Oreochromis niloticus: one gene and its partner. The protein of the gene in region 2 binds, or shares a complex with, the protein of the main gene of each other region. Links are inferred from orthologs where the notes say so. Each region holds a gene or a part of one and is shown on either strand. Other genes may lie near its edges.

The links. The genes of interacting proteins can lie anywhere in the genome.
Region 1: eif3jb (region 2) and eif3s6ip share a complex: the UniProt entries of both Homo sapiens proteins name them as parts of the eukaryotic translation initiation factor 3 (eIF-3) complex. The link is inferred for Oreochromis niloticus from reciprocal best matches to the Homo sapiens genes EIF3J and EIF3L.

What each region holds. Positions count from the first base shown.
Region 1 is NC_031978.2:25,121,737-25,131,667, reverse strand, and holds the start of eif3s6ip (eukaryotic translation initiation factor 3 subunit L), read left to right. Parts: upstream 1-5,287; 5' UTR 5,288-5,424; coding exon 5,425-5,448; intron 5,449-5,805; coding exon 5,806-5,848; intron 5,849-6,010; coding exon 6,011-6,221; intron 6,222-6,300; coding exon 6,301-6,380; intron 6,381-6,608; coding exon 6,609-6,670; intron 6,671-6,771; coding exon 6,772-6,841; intron 6,842-6,934; coding exon 6,935-7,008; intron 7,009-7,221; coding exon 7,222-7,393; intron 7,394-7,543; coding exon 7,544-7,698; intron 7,699-8,247; coding exon 8,248-8,418; intron 8,419-8,649; coding exon 8,650-8,783; intron 8,784-9,004; coding exon 9,005-9,178; intron 9,179-9,368; coding exon 9,369-9,558; intron 9,559-9,768; coding exon 9,769-9,849; intron 9,850-9,931. Other genes in the region: smoc2 (SPARC-related modular calcium-binding protein 2), read right to left, coding at 3,548-3,622. UniProt on the Homo sapiens protein: Component of the eukaryotic translation initiation factor 3 (eIF-3) complex, which is required for several steps in the initiation of protein synthesis.
Region 2 is NC_031965.2:18,809,289-18,819,697, forward strand, and holds the start of eif3jb (eukaryotic translation initiation factor 3 subunit J-B), read right to left. Parts: upstream 3,772-10,409; 5' UTR 3,629-3,771; coding exon 3,616-3,628; intron 3,469-3,615; coding exon 3,380-3,468; intron 1,454-3,379; coding exon 1,396-1,453; intron 1,303-1,395; coding exon 1,205-1,302; intron 1,117-1,204; coding exon 1,020-1,116; intron 491-1,019; coding exon 320-490; intron 213-319; coding exon 139-212; intron 1-138. Other genes in the region: strc1 (stereocilin), read right to left, coding at 5,640-5,734, 6,973-7,123, 7,618-7,715, 7,916-8,064, 8,159-8,301, 8,455-8,610, 8,756-8,931. UniProt on the Homo sapiens protein: Component of the eukaryotic translation initiation factor 3 (eIF-3) complex, which is required for several steps in the initiation of protein synthesis.

The DNA.
Region 1 (9,931 bases), on a different chromosome or scaffold from region 2:
GCCTGGTTCTGCCATAGATTTCTTCTTGCTAAAAAGGAGTTTTTCCTTCCCAATGTTGCCAAGTGCTTGCTAATGGAGAGTTGGTCTGATTGTTGGAGTTTTCTCTCCACCATGAGGTGATGGTTGTTATAATTTGGTGCTATATGAATGAAACTGAATGTAATTGATCTGTGCAGAAGATTCCTGTTCATAACATGTTAGTGAAATCAAGACTGAATTTGAAACAAACATCTGCACTTTTTGTCTTCAACTAAACACTTAAGAGTTTCTATTTTTGGTTGCTTATGTGTTTGGCTCGCTCTCTTGATAAACACAAGATCGTACATGTCCTGCCCCTACTCCCTCATTGTATCTCTCAGCTGTTTGAATTATTTGCATCATTGCATTTAACTGACAGAGTCCCATTAGTACAATCCTCCCTTCTGTTCCTCTTCTCTCCAGTGCTACTAGCTTCACACACAGGTAAGGAGGGCATACTTATTCAACACCGAAAGTCTCTCATAGCTCCCCCTTCACATACAGACAGTTCTGAAGCCAGTTACTACACTGATGGTGTCTTAGAGCATCCAACCCCACTTGGTGGTGACTGTCCAGCACTTGCCACAGCCAATGTACTCCCACTACACCAGCATTAGCCCCTGCCAGCCAGCAGACTGACATCGCAAACAGAGTCATTCAGCGGCCCAGCATCCTGCTAGAAGTCTGCTCTCCAGCACACACAGCATAGTGCCAAGCTCCAGCAAGTTTACAGTGAAGCTCCAAGAACGCAGCATGGAAAAACACAGTTGAAATCATGAAATCAGCCACCCATGAAATCAACCACCCAGACTCAGTTTCAGACATCCGAATATTTATTTCTAAGCCGTTTCAAAGTTGGCCACACTGAAGGAAGTGCAAACAAATAAGATGTGAAAGTGAGGGAGAGGAAGAAACTTCAGAGACTAATGGTGCTTTGAGGGCTTCTTCCTCCTGTGTACACCTAATTGTAGTTAGCTCTCTGCTACAGATCTCTGTGTGTTTTTTGCCTGTGGTGATGGATGGGTGAGGCTGAGGCAGAGCCCCGACACTCCCCTGATGTCTCATTCCAGCCTCTCCGAGTCGACACCATCATCCTGCACAGGAATATGGTGGAGAGTGATGGATGGCCTCTGCCTCAGCTACATGCGGCACAGACTTCCACCCTGAATTATCATAAAAGGAGACTCGTGCAAGTCTGAACACGCATTTTGACTCAAATCAATTTATTGCTCAAATCCCACTCCCGTCTACTTGCAGACATCTGGCGCTCACTTTCTCTGTTTGCCTTTCTCTTTATTTGGCCTCTCGTGATTTTTTTTTTCTTTTGTTCTTTGTGGGATCTCTCTTGGAAGATGCTTTTTGCATCTGCTCTAATAATACAGAAGGTTGGCAAAAGAACAAGAGACAGGCAAGAGAGGGCGAGGCGGGTGGAGTGTAAGGGAAATTTTTTTTCTAAGATCAACCAGCATACAAATCAAATCCTATTACCTCCCCCTGGCTCGACGGCATTGTGGGATTGAATGGGGTATGGAGGAGGCGAACCTCCAGCAGAGAGCGCATTGTAGGCTGATAAGAGCCTTCTGGGCTGGGAGGCCCCTGCTTCCAGCGCCTTGAGAGGCCCCTCACACCACAGCCCCACAGGGTCAATGGGGGCCCCAGCTGAGAGCTGTGGCAAACGTGTTAAATGCCCTTGCCGGGAGTTTCCTGCGTGGATGCTAGGATGCAAAGGGGATCATTAGTTTCCAGCATGGTGGAAAGGGAAGAAAGTGTCAGCCTTTAACCAGCCTACTAACTCAATCAAAGGAAAAAGGGATTTAATTGCTTTGAGAGATGTTAAAAAGAAAAGGAGGTGTTGCAAAAGGCTAGTGGTAGTCATGTGATAAAGAAACCCGCCTCTTTGAGCAGGTGGAAAATTTTAGGAAAGCACTTGGGGGGCAGCAGGGCCCGTGTTAGATCAAAAATTCTACATAAAGATTTGAAAATGAGGCAGCCACTATTCTGTGTGCCCTCATCTTCTCACACACTATTTCATATTTCCATAAACAATGGAAAAAATCGGTCTCATGAATAACCCTGGGCAAATATCTCATATATTTAACTGCCTGTCTGACCTCAAATATGCACAAAATATAACATGAAGACATTTTCTTTTAACCAGTAATGGTCTCTCCTGTATATGTTAAACAATAAGCCATTAATCACTTGCAACCTTCTTTGTAAAAGAAAGTTATACTACTAAAGACAGTCTGATTAGCCCGTGTTGGGAGGTATGGCACACAATATGAAACAAAATTAAACTGAGGCACGCAACAAAGTAGAGAAGTTTCTCGTTCTTACACTCGTCTCCAGAGCACAGCAGATAATGTGTCATATCCAAACAACCACAAACACAGCTACACCCGTGTAACCTTTCTATTAAATGACAGGTAAATGGTATCAACCATGTCACATATAGAGAAATACTCCTCACACTAATTATCTGTAGCCTTGGTCTGTGTGTGTGTTTGTGTGTATCAACTCAGTGAAGCATCTGCCCAGTACAACGCTTCCTCCCACATTCCACAACTCTGTAGTGCCGTCAGGGAGAAAGGATCTCCGACCCTTCACCTGAAGGTTAACAACTCATGGCCATTTGTTTCCAATTGGATACCGAGGCATCTTCTCCAGAACCATAAATACTGGTGCTGGGAGAGGTGGCTGTCACATCAGCCTCTAAATCAAAAGGGGGAGCCTCTGACAATGCACATTCCACTCTCTATTAAGTGTCCTTTACCACTGTACCTGCACTTGATCATGGCCATGAAATTCCCCAGAAGATGCACTTTCTGTCAGAGTTTAATGTAAGATGGAGAGGATGCTGCTGTAAACAATGCCATGTGCTTTAATGCAGAAGATCCCGGCAGCTCAGCCTCTGAAGAGCAACTAGAACAACAGGAGCAAACCAGACAGAAAGGCAGCAGAGCCGAGAAGCTGGCAGGCAGGTTACAGCAGCAAAACCAAACCTGCAAAGGATCTGCTGCACACCAGCCAACTGCTTACAAACCTATAGCCTTTGCTGTGCCAACACTCTGAAAAGCTGTGGCGCTCAGTTTACATGACTGACAAAAAACACAGAGCCATTTTCTCCGTGCACAGCTCTACTTGATGCTCTCTTGAGCTCTAAAATGGATTTCTGCCACATATAAAACATTCAACTAATACAGCCCACTTCTTTTAGAGTGAGATAACCTCAGACTCAGACTTCAGTGTAAGAATGTGGCAGAGTGTAGTAGTAATTGACTTCAAATGCGTCATTATCGGTATTGAATATTTTATTATTTCAGATTCTTAGACTAAATAGATCACAAGAAGCTTGACTTTTAAGAAAAGGGTGCGTAGGAACTATTTCTTTTATATTAAAAATATTTTCCAGATTGTGAATTTTGGAATTTTATTCATAGAAAGCACATGCACATCCTTTCCATTTAAAACATCTTTTACTCATGAAATTGAATGACATTCATTCCGGGAGTTAAGTGCCTCCTCATACCCTGAGAGCGGAGAACTTCTGAACGCCTCCAGCGCACTGTAGACAGAGGAAGACCAGCAGTGGACAGATGCGCATCCTGACGCAGCGTGGTAATATACTCTCCAAATTACGCGCGGTCCAAAATCGTGTTGGTAGGAGTTCACCTAGGCGCAAAACTGTCTATGGGAAAAGTCAAAAATAGTTTAAAATCCGCACCAGTCCTTTCGAAGAAGTCACTGGGGGTCGGTGGTGTATTTCACGTCGTTTCCTTGGTTTCGTCTGCCAGCCCGTTTGTGTAGACACGCTCCTTATTTCTGGCAGTCCGATAAACCCCCCCGTGTCCCTGACCTTTTCCCCTCCCTCGGTGTCTCTTTCTCCCTCTCTTTAACTCAACTTCGTTTCTCCACACCCCCTTTCTGCTACACTTGATTCTGTGGACTAGATCCCTTATCGGATGCAGGCGGTTCCCCAGCCGGTAGTCAGTCAGGTAGGCGTAAGCTTACGCCGTCAGCTGCTGGTAGTTGAGTCAAACACGTCAGGTATTCTTTTCTTTACGTAAGAAAGTGGTGTGAGGATGCTCAACCCCAGTGAAGAGAAAACGCAGGAAGGGGTCAGAAAGTGTCTGCTAGGTGGATCAGCAAATAAATTTTCGTTCTGATGGACGCATACACAATCACATTTAAAGTTTTGATTATACGGCTATATACAATTCTCAAAACAAAGTTAGACAAGCCCCTGAGTTTCACACAATACAGATTAAAAAAACAAGCGGCGCCTAGAATAACAAATATTTTGGCAAAAGTAAAATAATCTAACAATATGTCCCTTTGATCACACATATAAGACAAAATAGCATATTTATTGGCCATATTGTATTAAACCTTTCTCAGCTTTGTAACTATATGCTGTATGAGCACGAACCAGTTTGCAATTTCTTCCCAATAACTCTCCATTCGCCGAGTCCACGGCCACTAGTGCAACGTTTCAGAGCGTCCCACTACGACTATAACGCCACCTAATGGTAGATGATAGTCTTCACAGTCTGCTCAATACACTCCATATGGTCAAATAGCTGTCGGGGATTTCGAAATTCTACACATCAGTTCGGACTTTTGCGTTTGCCAGAACTCTGCGTAACGTATTCTCCACAAGTTTATTTTATTCTCCACGAGAAAAATTAGGCTGAGTTTTCAACATACATTTTTTTGTGCAGGAATCAAAGAAACTTGACAAATAAGAACATAGGGCCTATATCAAATTATATCTGTTCCTCTTGGTTGTTTGTTTTTCAGTACCTGCACAAGAACCCCTTCAGTAGAAAGGTATTTCTCGCCAAGAGTCCGTTTGTTTCCCGAATATATGTTTGGTCAAAACTGGTGTAGCCTAATTAGTATCATTAGACATCTTTACAATACATTATGGTGAGTAAAAAGCACAGCTGTAAACAAATACACAGATGCCGTGTCACGAACAGACACTAGCAAAACAATGAGGTTCATAAAATACATTTATGAAACCCTAATCAGAGCCCTAGCTTGCTCTTGTTCTCAGTTACATAGGTATCATTCCCTACGAGAAACTTAAGAAGAAAAAACGTGGAAAGAAATGGCTATTCGTTTTTAAATTCACCACCCTCTACATCTTTTTTTGTTTGAAATGGCTTTTAGAGGAGACATGCGAAAGTTTGAGAATCGAGTGTTTCTCTTGGTGAACAACAAACTCAATTTCCCACAGTGCTCCAATAACAATGCGTGTCACTCCTACGTCACAGCTACTTCCTTCCGCTTCTTCTCGTCTCTCCACCGCCAGCTGCGTGGTTTAGCGGCGGTAGCTAATTGAGCATACATTCTCCTTTTTCACTCCAGCATCTAAACTAGCTTGAACTAATAGCTAATACAATGTCATACCACGACGAAGAGGATGTAAGTACACATTTACTCCTTCAGACATTTTAACGTTTTGACTACAATAACAATGGCACACTGTTAGCTAGGTAACACACACTGTTAGCTAGGTAGCTGTGTAGCTAGCTCGACTCCACCGGCATAGTATAACAGTGGCTTCAATGAGTTAGTGTGATATAAATTTACTCTTAACCCCTGCTTTAAGAAAATGCAACCTGGACAACTAGCTAATTGTCTGTAACTCTTTTTAGTGCATTTTTATTATTATAAAATATCGCTATATAATCGATCAGTTGGTCGCTTCTCGCTGGGCAGATGTATCAATATCAGATGCTGTATCAGTAACAAATGCCCGATTGCTTTGTTTCCTTACAGTACGATCCTTACTCCTACACAAACGACTACGATCTGCACACTGGTAAGTATACAAATAACCATCCCTTTTATACTCATACTATCAATATTTACAGATACAATCCTCTTGTTTAGTCAGTCAGTGTATAACACACAGACACAAACATACACAACATAAGTAACTTTTAGAGGAGAGTAAAGGATATTCTTTTAATTTTCCTTGCAGGTGACCCTAAAGCAGACCTTGCCTACGAGAGGCAGTATGAGCAGCAGACCTACCATGTCATCCCAGAGGTGATCAAGAACTTTCTGCAGTATTTCCACAAAACCATCTCTGACTTGATTGACCAGAAGGTTTATGAGCTGCAGTCCAACCGGGTGTCTAGTGAGAGCATTGAGCAGAAGATCTACGAGATCCAGGACGTCTATGAAAACAGGTAAAGTTAACTCTGTGCACATAACTCTCACACCGTGTGAGATTAATATGCTGACCTTTTCATGCTCTTGCCCATTCAGCTGGAACAAGTTGACTGACCGTTTCTTCAAGACCTCTCCCTGGCCAGAGGCTGAGGCCATTGCATCACTTGTTGGCAATGGTGAGAGCGTTATCCATTACTTGTTCTACTTTTGATTTTGTATGGATAGTATCATTTTTATTCTTTATTGTTTGAGTGTGATTTAAAAAAAAAAAAGATAAACTTGCACCGCTTAAGATTATTATTATTATTTATTTTGTATATTTAAGATTTTATAAAAGTTTTAGGCCTCCTTTGTGTGGTTCAGTGGAGATGTTTCATGTTGTTTTTGTCTCTTGTGTTTTGCAGATGCCGTGTTTCTCATTCTCTACAAGGAACTCTATTACAGACACATCTACGCTAAAGTCAGCGTGAGTAGCTGCTAAATATGAACAGTTGTCTGGGTCTTTTTTATCAGTGTCCAAAAAACTTTCTAGAATTTGGTTGAAAAAAGTATTTTCTGTATAATCAGGGTGGACCAACTTTGGACCAGAGATTTGAGTCCTACTACAATTACTGCAACCTCTTCAACTACATTCTCAGTAAGTAGCACAAATTGTCCATACATTTTCTCTTACCCGTTGTTGTTAGTGCAAGAACAGCAGCTTAATGAGATCATTGTTGACTCTAAACAGATGCTGATGGGCCGGCCCCCTTGGAGCTGCCAAACCAGTGGCTCTGGGACATCATTGATGAGTTTATCTACCAGGTACATTACAGTGTTTTTAGAGTGCATGCTCAACAATCAATAAGATCAAAATAAAGAAAAGGGCTGATAGCTGTTGTTGTTAATGTTATCATTGCTTTAAGCACCAGATAGGTGACATATTAATGAAGATATTCGTGGTCTTTAATGATCACTAGTCCACGTGGCTAGAAAGCATATTTAAAATCCACTAACAGACATCTCTTCCACCTTCAGTTTCAGTCATTCAGTCAGTACCGCTGTAAGACAGCCAAAAAGTCTGAAGAGGAAATTGAATTCCTGAGGAGCAATCCGAAGATCTGGAACGTCCACAGTGTCCTCAATGTTCTCCACTCCCTGGTGGACAAGAGCAACATCAACCGTCAGCTTGAGGTCTACACGAGTGGAGGTAAAGAACAGTGTTTTTTATGATATTTATAGAAAAGATGGAGTGTTTCTAGAAACCTAATTACTTTAAAATCTTGAATTATGTCAATTTAAGGCTTTAAAATCCAGGATTGTATAGGTCGTGAACATGTTATGTGTTCTTGTAATGCAGGAGACCCAGAAAGCGTGGCTGGAGAATATGGACGTCACTCCCTGTACAAGATGTTGGGTTACTTCAGCTTGGTCGGGCTTTTGAGGCTTCACTCTCTGCTTGGTGACTATTACCAGGCCATCAAAGTCCTGGAGAACATTGAGCTCAATAAGAAGGTACGACCTTATTTAAGACCTCATGTATAGAGAGGTCTGGTCTGCTCCAATGGTGATGATGAGCGCTAGGATTGGGTGTCTATATGGAAATATGTTGTTGTTTCCTCTTGTCCTAGAAGGTTTGATACAATGCTGACAGATACTGATGTTTTTAATTTAAATCAAACAAACGATATTCTCCGAGGATTCTTTTGATAATTTGACTCAGCACAGTTTCTGCTTTATCAGTCTTTATGCTCATGAAATTTAATGTGGGCAAAGTGAAGTTGCAGTAAAAAAGAAGGAACTCATTAATTTACCTGACACATTAACAATGAATAACAATTATGATACTAACATTGTAAAGTAAATACATAATTCAAAGTTCTCAGTTCTTCAGTAGCACAGAGTCAAATAGTTCATTTCATCTCAAAGTTTTTGTTAAATCAACCTTTGTAGCCACAAATAAAAAAGTTTGGTTGATCTGTTGAAATTAAACATTAAAAAAAGAAACTGCTCGTTTGCTCTGTAATTCATATTTCTGCATATTTTCTTTTGCCTGTCTTTCAGAGTATGTACTCGCGTGTTCCAGAGTGCCAAATCACCACATATTACTATGTGGGTTTTGCCTACCTTATGATGAGGCGCTACCAGGATGCCATTCGAGTCTTTGCTAACATCCTGCTCTATATCCAGAGAACAAGAAACATGTTCCAGAGGTCAACGTATAAATATGAGATGGTCAGTAACAGCAGTGGTTTTTAGACATTGTCTTATCTTTAGCTGTGGGTTCTTTTACTTATGTCTGTACAGAACATGGTGAGAGAACTTCAGACAGTAACATTTGGGATGCGTTGATTTGCTTTAAAACGCTTTGACACATGAATAATAATCAGGCACTCTCATTGTGTTGGATGATCAAACAGTATTATGTTCGGAACAGGTGTCATAATACCTGTATGTTTTCTTCAGATTAACAAACAAAATGAGCAGATGCACGGCCTGCTGGCTATCGCTCTGACCATGTACCCGATGCGCATCGACGAGAGCATCCACACCCAGCTGAGGGAGAAGTACGGAGATAAGATGCTCCGCATGCAAAAGGGGTAAGACCTACACTCACTGCCTTGCTTTACAACATATTTGTTTAAGTTGTGCGTCAGTCCTTTTCTGTTTTACTGTTATGATTTTGTATTATGTAGAATGTTATATAAAATGTGGAGCTTTGCTTATGGGATATGGAATCAGTAATGTATGACTTCATCAGCATTTGTGCTCGTAGCCTCAAACATTTCTTTTGACACAAATGTTACTTTTACCATCTCAGAGATCTGCAGGTGTTCGAGGAGCTGTTCAGCTTTGCCTGTCCCAAGTTCTTGTCACCTGTAGTGCCAAACTACGACAACGTCCACCCGAACTACCACAAAGAACCTTTTCAACAGCAGTTGAAGGTCTTTGCTGAGGAGGTGCAGCAGCAGGCCCAGCTCTCCACCATTCGAAGGTGAGTCCACCAACTTGTGAGTATGTGGAGGTTGTAGTTTTACCTGTAAAAGCTGGAATTATGTACAAAAATGTCCTGAATCTCCTCCAAACGTTTTGCCACACTTTACATATTTAAATCCTTTACATGAACTATTAGATTGTGTCTGAGTGCTTATATATGTCATCTAAATCACAATATGTCATTGTAGCTTCTTGAAGCTGTACACAACCATGCCAGTAGCCAAGCTGGCCGGCTTTCTGGACATGACAGAGCAGGAGTTCCGCATTCAGCTGCTCGTCTTCAAACACAAGATGAAGAATCTGGTGTGGACCAGCGGCATCTCAGCGCTGGACGGAGAGTTCCAGTCTGCCTCTGAGGTCGACTTTTACATTGACAAGGTGAATATCTTTTAAATGAAAGTGCTCGTTTTGATGTTTCTGTGCTGCTGTTTAAATAGCATGTCACAGGGCTGGATGGCTCCGAGGAATGCCTCTGGTGTTTAGTTCGGGTAAAATTAAGCATAAGATTTAAATACATTAAGTTTTACAGAGGTTAGATACGTGGATGTGGCTTGTTGTACTTTATATTTGATGGCATTTTTCCCACAGGACATGATCCACATTGCCGACACCAAAGTCGCTCGTCGGTATGGAGACTTTTTCATCAGACAGATCCACAAGTTTGAGGAGGTAAGCAATCATTCATAATGTCTCTGAATGGGAAAATATGTAATATGTTTCAGTTGCTAACTATTACAAGGTGTAACAATCT
Region 2 (10,409 bases):
AATGACTATATAGCTACAAACGTTTGCCAGAGGTTTTTTTTATGTTTGGACATCGAGTAAGTATTGGGTGAGTAGCACCCCCTGCTGAATAGAAACTTAATTTCAGCTAATAGTAAATGCAAGCATGCAGTCACTTACTTTTTCTTGTTTCTGTTTTTCACTAAGTAGGACTGACAGGGAATTACTGATTTTCTTCAAGTCATCTACTTCCACTGTAAGAGGAAGAAAAATAAGTAGTTACTGGACAAGCACAGTGCATTTTAAATTTAAGACAAGTGTAATAAAAAATGTTCCGTAAAAGCAGGAAAAAAAGACTTACATGAAATACAAAGTTCCCGAAACAATGACTCCAAGAAACTTGAATAATGCACAGATTTTTCAAACTGGGTTATCTTTTCTTTTAGCATTTTTTCAAACTCTGTGAAGTCTTCTTTGGAAGATGGACACATGGCATCAATTCCCGTGACACTGTTTGAAGTGCTGCCAACACCTGAAAAGATTTAAAGGTCACCATTACATACATTGATCACAACAAGATGAACAATATCAGGTCTCAAAAATCCCATATCTGTTGTATAAACTTTTGTTAGACATGCTGCAGTTTAAAAAACAAACAAACAAACAAACAAACAAACAAAAAAAACAGTTTACAGCATCAGGAGCACGAAAAACAAATATTTTCCTCAAATCACAGCTTTCCTAAAGCATGTGTAAAGATCTTACTTAAAGCTTCAGCTTTTAGAGTCTACTCTAAACATTTTACAGATAATAGAATGGTGCATTGTTCCTTTGGAGGTGAGGTATAGTATGTGGCATCTACAGCTGAATTACTGGGACATCTGTGTAAAACGTAAAAGCCAAAGGAGTATTTAAGCCTTTTAAGTCTTAGTTAAATGTTAACTACAAGCAACAGCGACTAATGTATTGCAAACTAAATGTATTGCATCAGTTACACAACTTGATTTTGTGGAAGACCTCATGTTCTTGATAAAAAGTTTCTACACCTGATCCGGTCTTACCAAAAGCATCTTTTGCTAGCTCCAAGTCTGCGTCTTCCTGTAATTTCTTCACTCTTAATTTTTCTGCCAGCTGTTCTTCAGGAGTGAGCTGTTCTTCCTGTAAATAAAAATGTAAGAGTTAAGATATTATTAGAGATAAACGAGCATAGAGTCAAAAGGTTTACAGATGAGAAAGTGGGACTTACTTCTTGCTGTTCCATTGCCTCCTGTTGTTTCTTCTTCATCCGGTTTTCTTTCTCTTTTATCTTTTCACTAAGTTTTTTCTTTTCAGAAACCTTTGGCTCTGCAAATTAAAATAATGACATAAGAAAATTAAAATCATTCAGTAATCAAGTATACTCCATTAGTGAAAGGCAAGCGGTACTGGGATACAAACCTGGTTTCTTCACATCTGTTTTTTTCTCTTCATCTTCTTCATCATCGTCCCAGTTGTCCTGTGAACACACAGAACATAATGTGTGTAACTGTTGCCTTTTTATTAATATGTAAGCTAGAAGATGTAAATATATAGACATAGATGTATAATGTAACCAAAAACAAACAAACGACACACATTAATATGGCTTCCCAGAGCCATGCTAAAGCCTTGAAAAGTCTTCTTTTTTTTCTGAGCAACATCTTAACACCTACAGAACTAGACAACTTTAAAAATGTAAGTCAAAGGCTGCAATCAGTCAGAATGTTTATTTTAAAATAACAAAAAATCCAAACTTTTTAAAACATAAAATTATCACTTATCGATATGCAACAGCTGCCACTTCATTTTCTGAAGATGAATAACTTTTGTTCTACCTCTAGTTCAAATTATTCTAGTCCTGATTACACTGGCGTAGATGTATATAAGCTGGATCGATCAACGTTACTGATCCAACAAGGGTAATTACTGTGTTACGGTACCAGGATAAAGAATAAAAATAGTACAGTCTACATTAAAAAACTGAAAGTACCACATGCACACAGTGAGTGCTTAATACTGTGTAATAATGCAGAACTTGTATATATTAAACAGTGATTAAGAATCAAAAAATATAACAACATTAAAGTTTAAGATTCTGTAATTCATGACAATGAGTTACGAGTTATGACATCAGTGTTAATTTATTAATTTATAGGTGATGACTCTTCAGACATCACTGGGGTTGTGATCCTGTAGATTGCTGTCTTATATTAAGATCCACCTTAAGTGTCACTACAAATAAATGTAATCCAATCCAAGAAGATACTAATTTCTAACTGAAATATCCAAGACTTTAAACTGTGAATTACTACACAATAAACATTTGACAACCGGCCTGTTGCATTTCCAGCAGGTTATGAACAACAACAACAGCAGCTCTGGAAATAAATTTAATTATCTTGAGTAAAAATTAACTTTGTGCTATTGTCTGATTTCCACAAAAATCTTAACCCTTCTTCCTAAACAATGACCATTTTGTACTACAGAGGACATAAAACCATCAGGCTCTTCAGTCTGGACGCCATATGCGACAGAAAACGGGAGAACTGAAGAGGCCTCTGCCAGCACTTTCCACAGGATCAATTATCTGAGGCTTCTGGACAGAGACCGTGCCAGTTTTCACGTAGCAGCTACCTGTATTACGGTATCAGCTGAACAGCGGCTTCCTACTGCCTGCTGTAAAGTCGGAAAGTTCCAGGCCTAGTTCTTGGCTGAGTTGAGTCATCAACCCAGTGGATGATTTCATCTGAATGGGGCTAAAGTTGGTTAGCACGCTAACGCCGCCTCATACTCAACGTGACTCAAGCTGTGGGTTTGCCAGAGTAGACATAATTATGCTAATCTCCAATAATCGTTTAATGCAACTAAATCTGTGCAATAATGGGATGGACCTGTATATTAGCAACACATGAACAAATCACTCAATACTGAGGTCACCCAACATTAAAGCCTATTTACAGACGCAACAATACACGAGAGCTAGCAGACTAGCTAGCTCAAGTGGCCCGTCCGGTGAGAGATTAGCTTCAAGCACCGCTATCAAAATTCATGACGCCAAGAGAAGTAGAAAACACTACTAGCGTCCAAAAATTTGATTAAACCTATAAGTATGAACTGGCACGCCGTTATTCAGTTTGTTAACAGTACGTTTGAATGACTGAAACTCGAATACCAGCATACTGTTAGCTGAGCTAGAGTTTCCAGAGGCTGCTTGTTGGAGCCACATGAGTTAGCATAAGCTAACAGGGGTTCGGAGGTTCGGACTGACAGGCGGCGAGAAACCACGACGAAGCGTGGCATTACATCCTGTCGCTTGCTCGGTCAGCTAACAGCTCGCAAACAACCGGTGGCAGATTTTAAAAAGCGGCTCAGACTATACCGAGTGTTCGTCACGATATTTTACCTTAACATCTTCATCTTCGTCCTCGCCTTCCCATTTGTCCAGCGCTGCCGCCTTTTTAATCGGTTCCTCCGGCTCGAAGTTGTCAGCGTCTGTAAAAACAACAACATGAGAGTCGTTAGGTCAGTCCACATCTGACACCTGGAGTTAACAATGAGAGGTGTATTAGGCCCTTAAAACAGCGAGTGCGACAAGTAAATGTTGTACAGATAGCCATCCTTCCCAACTTAGTTTCTCACCCCAGTCCGCCATGTTGGCTGTGTTGCTTGTGTTTGACAGGCTCGCTGTACAGTCAGTGCTGCAGCCCGTTGGCCACGTTCAGAAACAGCTCCCACCTTCTGGGCGGCACTCCGGCCTTATCTAACGTCCACGGAGCACTTTCAGCACAACGACCCCGATACAACTAATCTCATCACGCCTTTATTTATTTCAATTGTAAACATGAGACGCTACAAGCAAGCTGAAGCCAAGTTCCACGCATTTTTAAGTCGAGCATTGTAAAATAAATGTGTTAAAAGTACATTTTACATCATTCTTACATAAAGAGTCAAAACCTATTCTTAATCTCTTTTGGATACATTTGGATACACTACATATTATTTTAACCGAAGAAAAAATAATTAATTAATAGCCTTAATTTAACTGAATCTCATAAGGGAGTATAATAAAGTATATACATTAAAAATTGTTTTTTAATCATTCTTGTCGAGAAAGTGCAGTACCTCAGATGTATGATATTAATGGGAATTGAAATGGAAATGGTGATCAATAATTCCTCAGTGATATATTAAAATAAATAATATTTTTGAAGGATCAAGGTCGAGCTGGAAAGGATGTGCAGCGGGTTAGGGTGACTGAGGATAGAGATGGAAATGTAGTAATGAATAAAGTTTACTGAGAGAGTGGAAAGGCTACTTTGAGGAGCTCATGAATGACGAAAATGAAAGAAAGTTGAGGATGGATGGAGGGCAGTGAATGAGGAAGCAAGGAAAACTATAAATAGGATGAAGAGTGAAAAGGCAGTTGGTCCAGATGACATAACTGTGGAGGAGACATCCGGGAGAGGGGGCAGTGGACCAGATTAGAGAGTGAGAGGATCCCTGGGGGATGGAGAAGAAGTGTACTAGCACCCATTTTTAAAAATAAGAGTGATGTACGACCCCTAAACGAGGCAACCGAAAGAAGAAAAGGAATTCTTTATACGACCCTTGCAAATGTGATTAGTATCCAGTTACCCATTGCAAAAAATCTAGTTTCATACACTCTTTCTGTTTCATCATCAGTGATCATAATTTTGACTTCATTCCTTATTTGCCTGTTACTGAATATGATAGCTGTGATTTATTGATAATTTCAACTACATTCAGAAGCTATTCCAAACCTTTTTTTCCTACGGTATAAACAGAAAAAAAACCTCACAATGAAACCAGAGTTATTATTTATTTGCACACAGTGGTATCTATCAGTGTGGTAACTATTTAACCAGGAATGTGCCACCCCTTTGATACCGTTATCTCCAGCTTTATCTTTAGTAATCTGTCATCTGTAGTGTCAAATGCTTTTTGAATGGTGAACAGAGCTGTGGGTAAAACTACAACAATAACAAGCAATAAAAAGAGCCAATCAGAGGTAGATTGGTTCAGTTTATTGATCATTTAGAGTCATTTTAATCACACCACAAAGTGTGCACAACAGTACAAAACTCACAGCAACAACAGACCAAAGTTGATCAATACTAGTACAATCAGGCCCTACTAGGTATTGTTTTGTAATCAAGATAACTCAAAATAGACAGATATATAGAAAGTGTTATCACTATTACTCACATAAATCTATAGTTCCCCAAAAATAAATAACTTTGTACATTTGCAACAGATTTCTTTCGTAATAACTGCACAACAATTATATTTTAACCTTTATCATTTTTAAGTATTATTTCTAGGTATGGCATCCCTGAGAAGGATATATATGGGAAAGTAAAGTGTTTAGATAGGTTTGTACAAAAATAAATAAATAGTCTAGGATCTGTGGGTATTAGATAGATTTGCTGATTAAAACAAACAGCTCTTACTCTCTCAAACTTTGTTCTTTCACTGCTAAATGTTGATGCTAAAGTAATAGTTATACAAGATCAATTACAGTGTTGCTAAAAAGAGTATGGAAAGCTTTAAATGCTGTTTATTTCAAAGAAATACAGCATTGTGCAGACAGACAATCATCATGTAGAAGAGGGGGTCTCCTGATTCGGCTGGGGTGAACGAGGTCATGTGTCAGGGCAGAGCAGGACGGTCAGCAGCATCAGCAGTCCCGATAAGAGACACAGGGGGCTGTGGCTCAACGCCAACCCCAGTGACCTCCCTGCAGGAATTCAGCAAAAGCATTACAAATGTAGAGCTATGCAAAAATATAGTTCAGGCAGATTCATATCACGGTAGGCACTCTCTCCACACCTAGAGTATCCATGCATAGCATATCTAGCAAGGCATAATGTTCATATGTTAGATAATGTTAGAAAAGAAAGCACACTGGAAACATCTACAAGTACAATGAGAATAAAGTGCTGAAACCAGCAAGGAAACAACAGCAGCTATCGTCAGCCTTGATTTTGGGAGTCAAATTACAGTAATAATTTATACACTCACGGGTCACTTTATTAGGTGTAGCTTGCTAGTACTGGTTTGGTCCCCTTTTGCCTTCAGAACTGCCTTAATTCTTAATTCCTCACAGATTTTGGTCTATACTGACATGATAGCATCACACAGTTGCTGCAGATTTGTTAGCTGCACATCCATAACGCGACTCTCCAGCTTTACCACATCTCAGTGGTGTTCTACTGGATTGAGAGCTGGTGACCTCCTCCTGCTGGAAGCTGCCATCAGAAGATTGTACACTGTGGTCATAATGGGATGGATGTAATGAGCAACAATACTCAGTCAGACTGTGGTGTTTAAATGATCCTCACATGGTACTAAGCGGCTCAAAGTGTGTGGAAAAATGGGCAACAGGAGCAGAAAACTGAGGCTAAAATTCACACGGGGTCATCCAATGGTGTGATAGATATATTTCCGTAGCACACTTTGGGCAGGTTAGTACCAGCTAAGCACACCTACCTGAGTATTGTTGTTGATGTGTCATGTTCACCCCATTATGACCACAGTGTATCCATCTTCCGATGGCTGGTTCCAGCGGGGTAATGCACCATGTCACAAAGCTGAAATCATCTCAAACTGGTTTCTTGAGCATGACAATGAGCTCACTGCACTAAGACACCCTCCACAGACACCAGATCTCAATCCAATGAAGCACCTTTGGGATGTGGTGGAACAGGAGATTGTGCAGTCTGCAGATCTGGAGCAGCTGTATGATGCTATCATGTCAATATGGAGCAAAATCTCAGAGGAATTAAGAAATAAGGCAGTTCTGAAGGCAAAAGTGGATCCAACCTGATACTAGCAAGATGTACCTAAACTAGCATAAAACTTTGGTTAGAGTTTTGATAAGGGCGATTATATTTTCATCAGATAAAGCGATTAATGCATAAAGAAGACAAATCAAGTTTAATGGTCATCAGTGGACAGCACTGATTCAGGTTTTACCTCTGAAGTCTACAGGCTTATCGTCCCAGGGTGTCAGCACCATAGCTAGAGCTGTTTTCTGGAGGTCTGACAGAACAGAGCGCTGGTTATCAGTTACTGCAACAGCCTGCTCGTAGGAGAACATGGCAATCTTTTCCTGGGAGAATACCACCTTTTGAAAACAACAAAAAAAACACGGCGGGTGGGATTTATTTAGAGAGATAAATTAAAGACATGATAAAGATTTGTCAAGATGGACGCAAAAACAGGAATACATTTTTTTTATTGTAAGAAACAAATGTTACTAAAAATTATGTACTTTTTACACATATCTAAGTGTAGTTTAGCTCACCTTGGTATTACAATAATGGGCCCTGACCAGTGAAACTAATCTTTCTGTCAGTGACAAGAAGGTTTACTACCAGTTTAATCTCTGACATAATATACTGTGGTGTAGTATGGATTGCTGTGGGAGAGTTTGTCATTAGCAGGAAATGCTGTAAAAGTTATTACAACACATTTAAAAGTCCAAAATAATATTTCCTCCTTCACATTTTCTAAAGCCGTCCAGTTGGCCGGATTGGAGTCTTTGTTGGTTCATTTCTGGCCCCCGTGCCTTATGTTTAACACCCATGATATGGTTGGTTTAATTAAATCTTGACTCACAGCAAACTTTTCTTGTGGCATCATTGAGATAGCCAAAGGTGCAATTCCCTCAATTTGCTCTTTTACCAGCGCTGACATGGCCATGTCTGGGATACCCACTGAAAAACAAGCAAAATGTTCCAGTGAAACAGAGCAAAGGGTGCTAGAATCAATGAATCAAATGCTTTTACAGCAAAGCATAGAGGAAAACAAAATGTCTTTGATTTAAATCTCTGACCTGACCACACATTAAGGCAGATGTAGGACTATGCATAGTACATCTAAAATTCATGTGGCAAAGACAATGAATAGACAATACCTGCCAGGACTCCGATCTCAATGAACACATCGGTGCCCCAGGAACTCATGAGTCCAAAAGCGAGGCTGTGGGTTAGCAGTTCAACAAGAGCTTGCAGCTGCTCCTCTGAGCAGGACAGCCTGAGCCGACCCAGCCTGAGAACCGCCTTACTGCAGCCATCAGAGGGAGACAAAGTACAAAGTAAATTCAAGTGTCAAGCTGGGCTTGAAAAAAAATTTAAGCATTTTCCGATACTGTGCGCACCTGAGCTCTATAGGATTGAAAGACCTCATCTCTGTGGCTTTAGCGCCACACACAATGTATCCCATTGCCACCAGAGTGCTGGAGTCAAGCTGGCTCGGATTCTGCTTGGTGGAGCTTAACACGGTAGAAAACAGTGTGGCCAGCTAGGACGACAACAAGTTATAAACCAGTCTAATACAGCACAGTAATGCCACAGCTGGTATTATTCTTATCAGATGAAATAAAAACTGCCCAAAAGACAAAGCAATTTTGATGTAACATGTAAATATTTGAGCTGCAGTGACTAAAGTACTTACCTGTCTGCTATTCCAGTCACTGACTGTGCCCAGAGCGGCAATGCTTCTCCGCTCAGTCAGTCGAATGGCATTCAGCTCGTCTAATGATAGCTGTGTCGCTATTACACCGAGCTGAGAGATGACAGCCTGGGAGAAGGAGGAGACTGGGCCATATATCTTCATGTATTAGCATTAATACAGAGAGGCCCGGAGCAAAGACAGAGCAGAGACAATATGAAGACCTGAAAACTTTGGTAATCATCAAATGAAACACATGTAAGAGGTTTTTGTTGGACTGACTCAGATTAACAATCAGTCTGACCTGTTTGACTCTCCTGAGCACTTCAGTGCGTTGGTAGGATGCAAGGAACGGGTCGTGACCCATCAGCTCCAGACAGTTGGAGAAGGCAGATGAAGACATGCTAGTCAAACTGCTGGAGAGCCAAACGGAGGGGGCTGTTGTATGCAAAATCTCACAAGTAGGAACCATTGGAGTCACTGGCCAGCAAAACACACAAACACATGATCAGGAGATTATCTATGAAAATGGGTCAGCAATGTAACCATGGCTTAGTTTGAAGTTGTCAAGGTTTTTGGTTTTCTGAAAAGTATTAGCCAAAGTCTTTCTGAACAATTTAATTCAAGAAGCTCATTTTCACTGTTAGAAGATCAGTTCTGCTGCTATAAAAGTCAATTTGCAAAGAAATTCATATGCACAAATGTACTGCGCTTTCAGCTGTACCAAACGACTATAATGCAATCAATGTTTAGAAGTATAACAAGTCCCCCAAAACAATGGTTGGGTTAATAACTCAGTTTTTTGGGACCACTGTTTCAGTTCATTTTCCAGTCCTTACTTAGAGGGGATAAAACAATTTTTTTTTCATCAAGCCTGGTCACGTGATCGGATTATAAACAAAAAATAAACATTATCATTCTGATGTATTACCAATTCACTTACTACCTTATTCATACTTAATAAACAGCTTCACAAAGCTATATTAACTACCCCACTGCCTATTTTTCATTCATTCATTTTGCCCCCCCCCCCAGTATGACTGCATAACAGACTATATAGACTTTACATAGCATAAAAAGCTGAAAGAAAAGGTGGATGGTTTTTTTTTCCTAATTTCCTACTTTAATTAAAACAAGGCAAACTTTTATATATTCTATATTAATTATGTGGGAAGTGAACTTTTGAGAAAGTGTTTTTTTGTTAAATTGATTATTATTAATTATGTCTTTCAGCCCATGAAAATTAGAAATGCAAGCTCAATGAAAGAAAGATTTACGATACTGAAATGTCTAAATTCTGGAAAAATCTGCTCATTTATAACACTCAGTTCTTGGCTTGGGCTCCTTAAACACAAATTTGTGCAGCAGGGCGCAGTGTGGTATGGAAACAGCCAGCTCATCTCACTGCTGCATTGTTATTGAAGTTCAGGTTGCTTTGATAGCAGCCTTCAGCTTTGTGTGTATTTTTGGATCGGGTTTTTTTCGTCTTCCTCTTGACAATAACAGATTCTCTGTGGGGTTCAGGTCAGGTAGGCGAGCACAATAATAACAAAATCAGCAAAGCATTTGGTTTGAACAGGTAGGTGCTGAGTTCAGTTTGAAAAGGAAATTTGAATTTCCATTAAGCTTGTCAGCAGATGGAAGCATTAAGTGTCCTAAAATCTTCAGGTATCTCTGCGATGACTTTGGACACAGTGGACCAACCATCACCAACACCAGCAGATTATAGAGTATCACAGACTGGGCTTCATACACCTTGGATTCTGTGTCGCTTGCCTCTTCCTCCAGACTTCAGGACCTTGAGTTCCAAATAAAATGCAGCATTTACTCTCATGGATCCAGTTTTTCTTTCTTTAGCCTCAGTCCTCTCCTTGTGAAGCATTACATTAAAATACATTTTACAGTGGATGTCTCCTCACTGCTTGGCAACTTGACTGTTGATCATGAAACACTTTTGT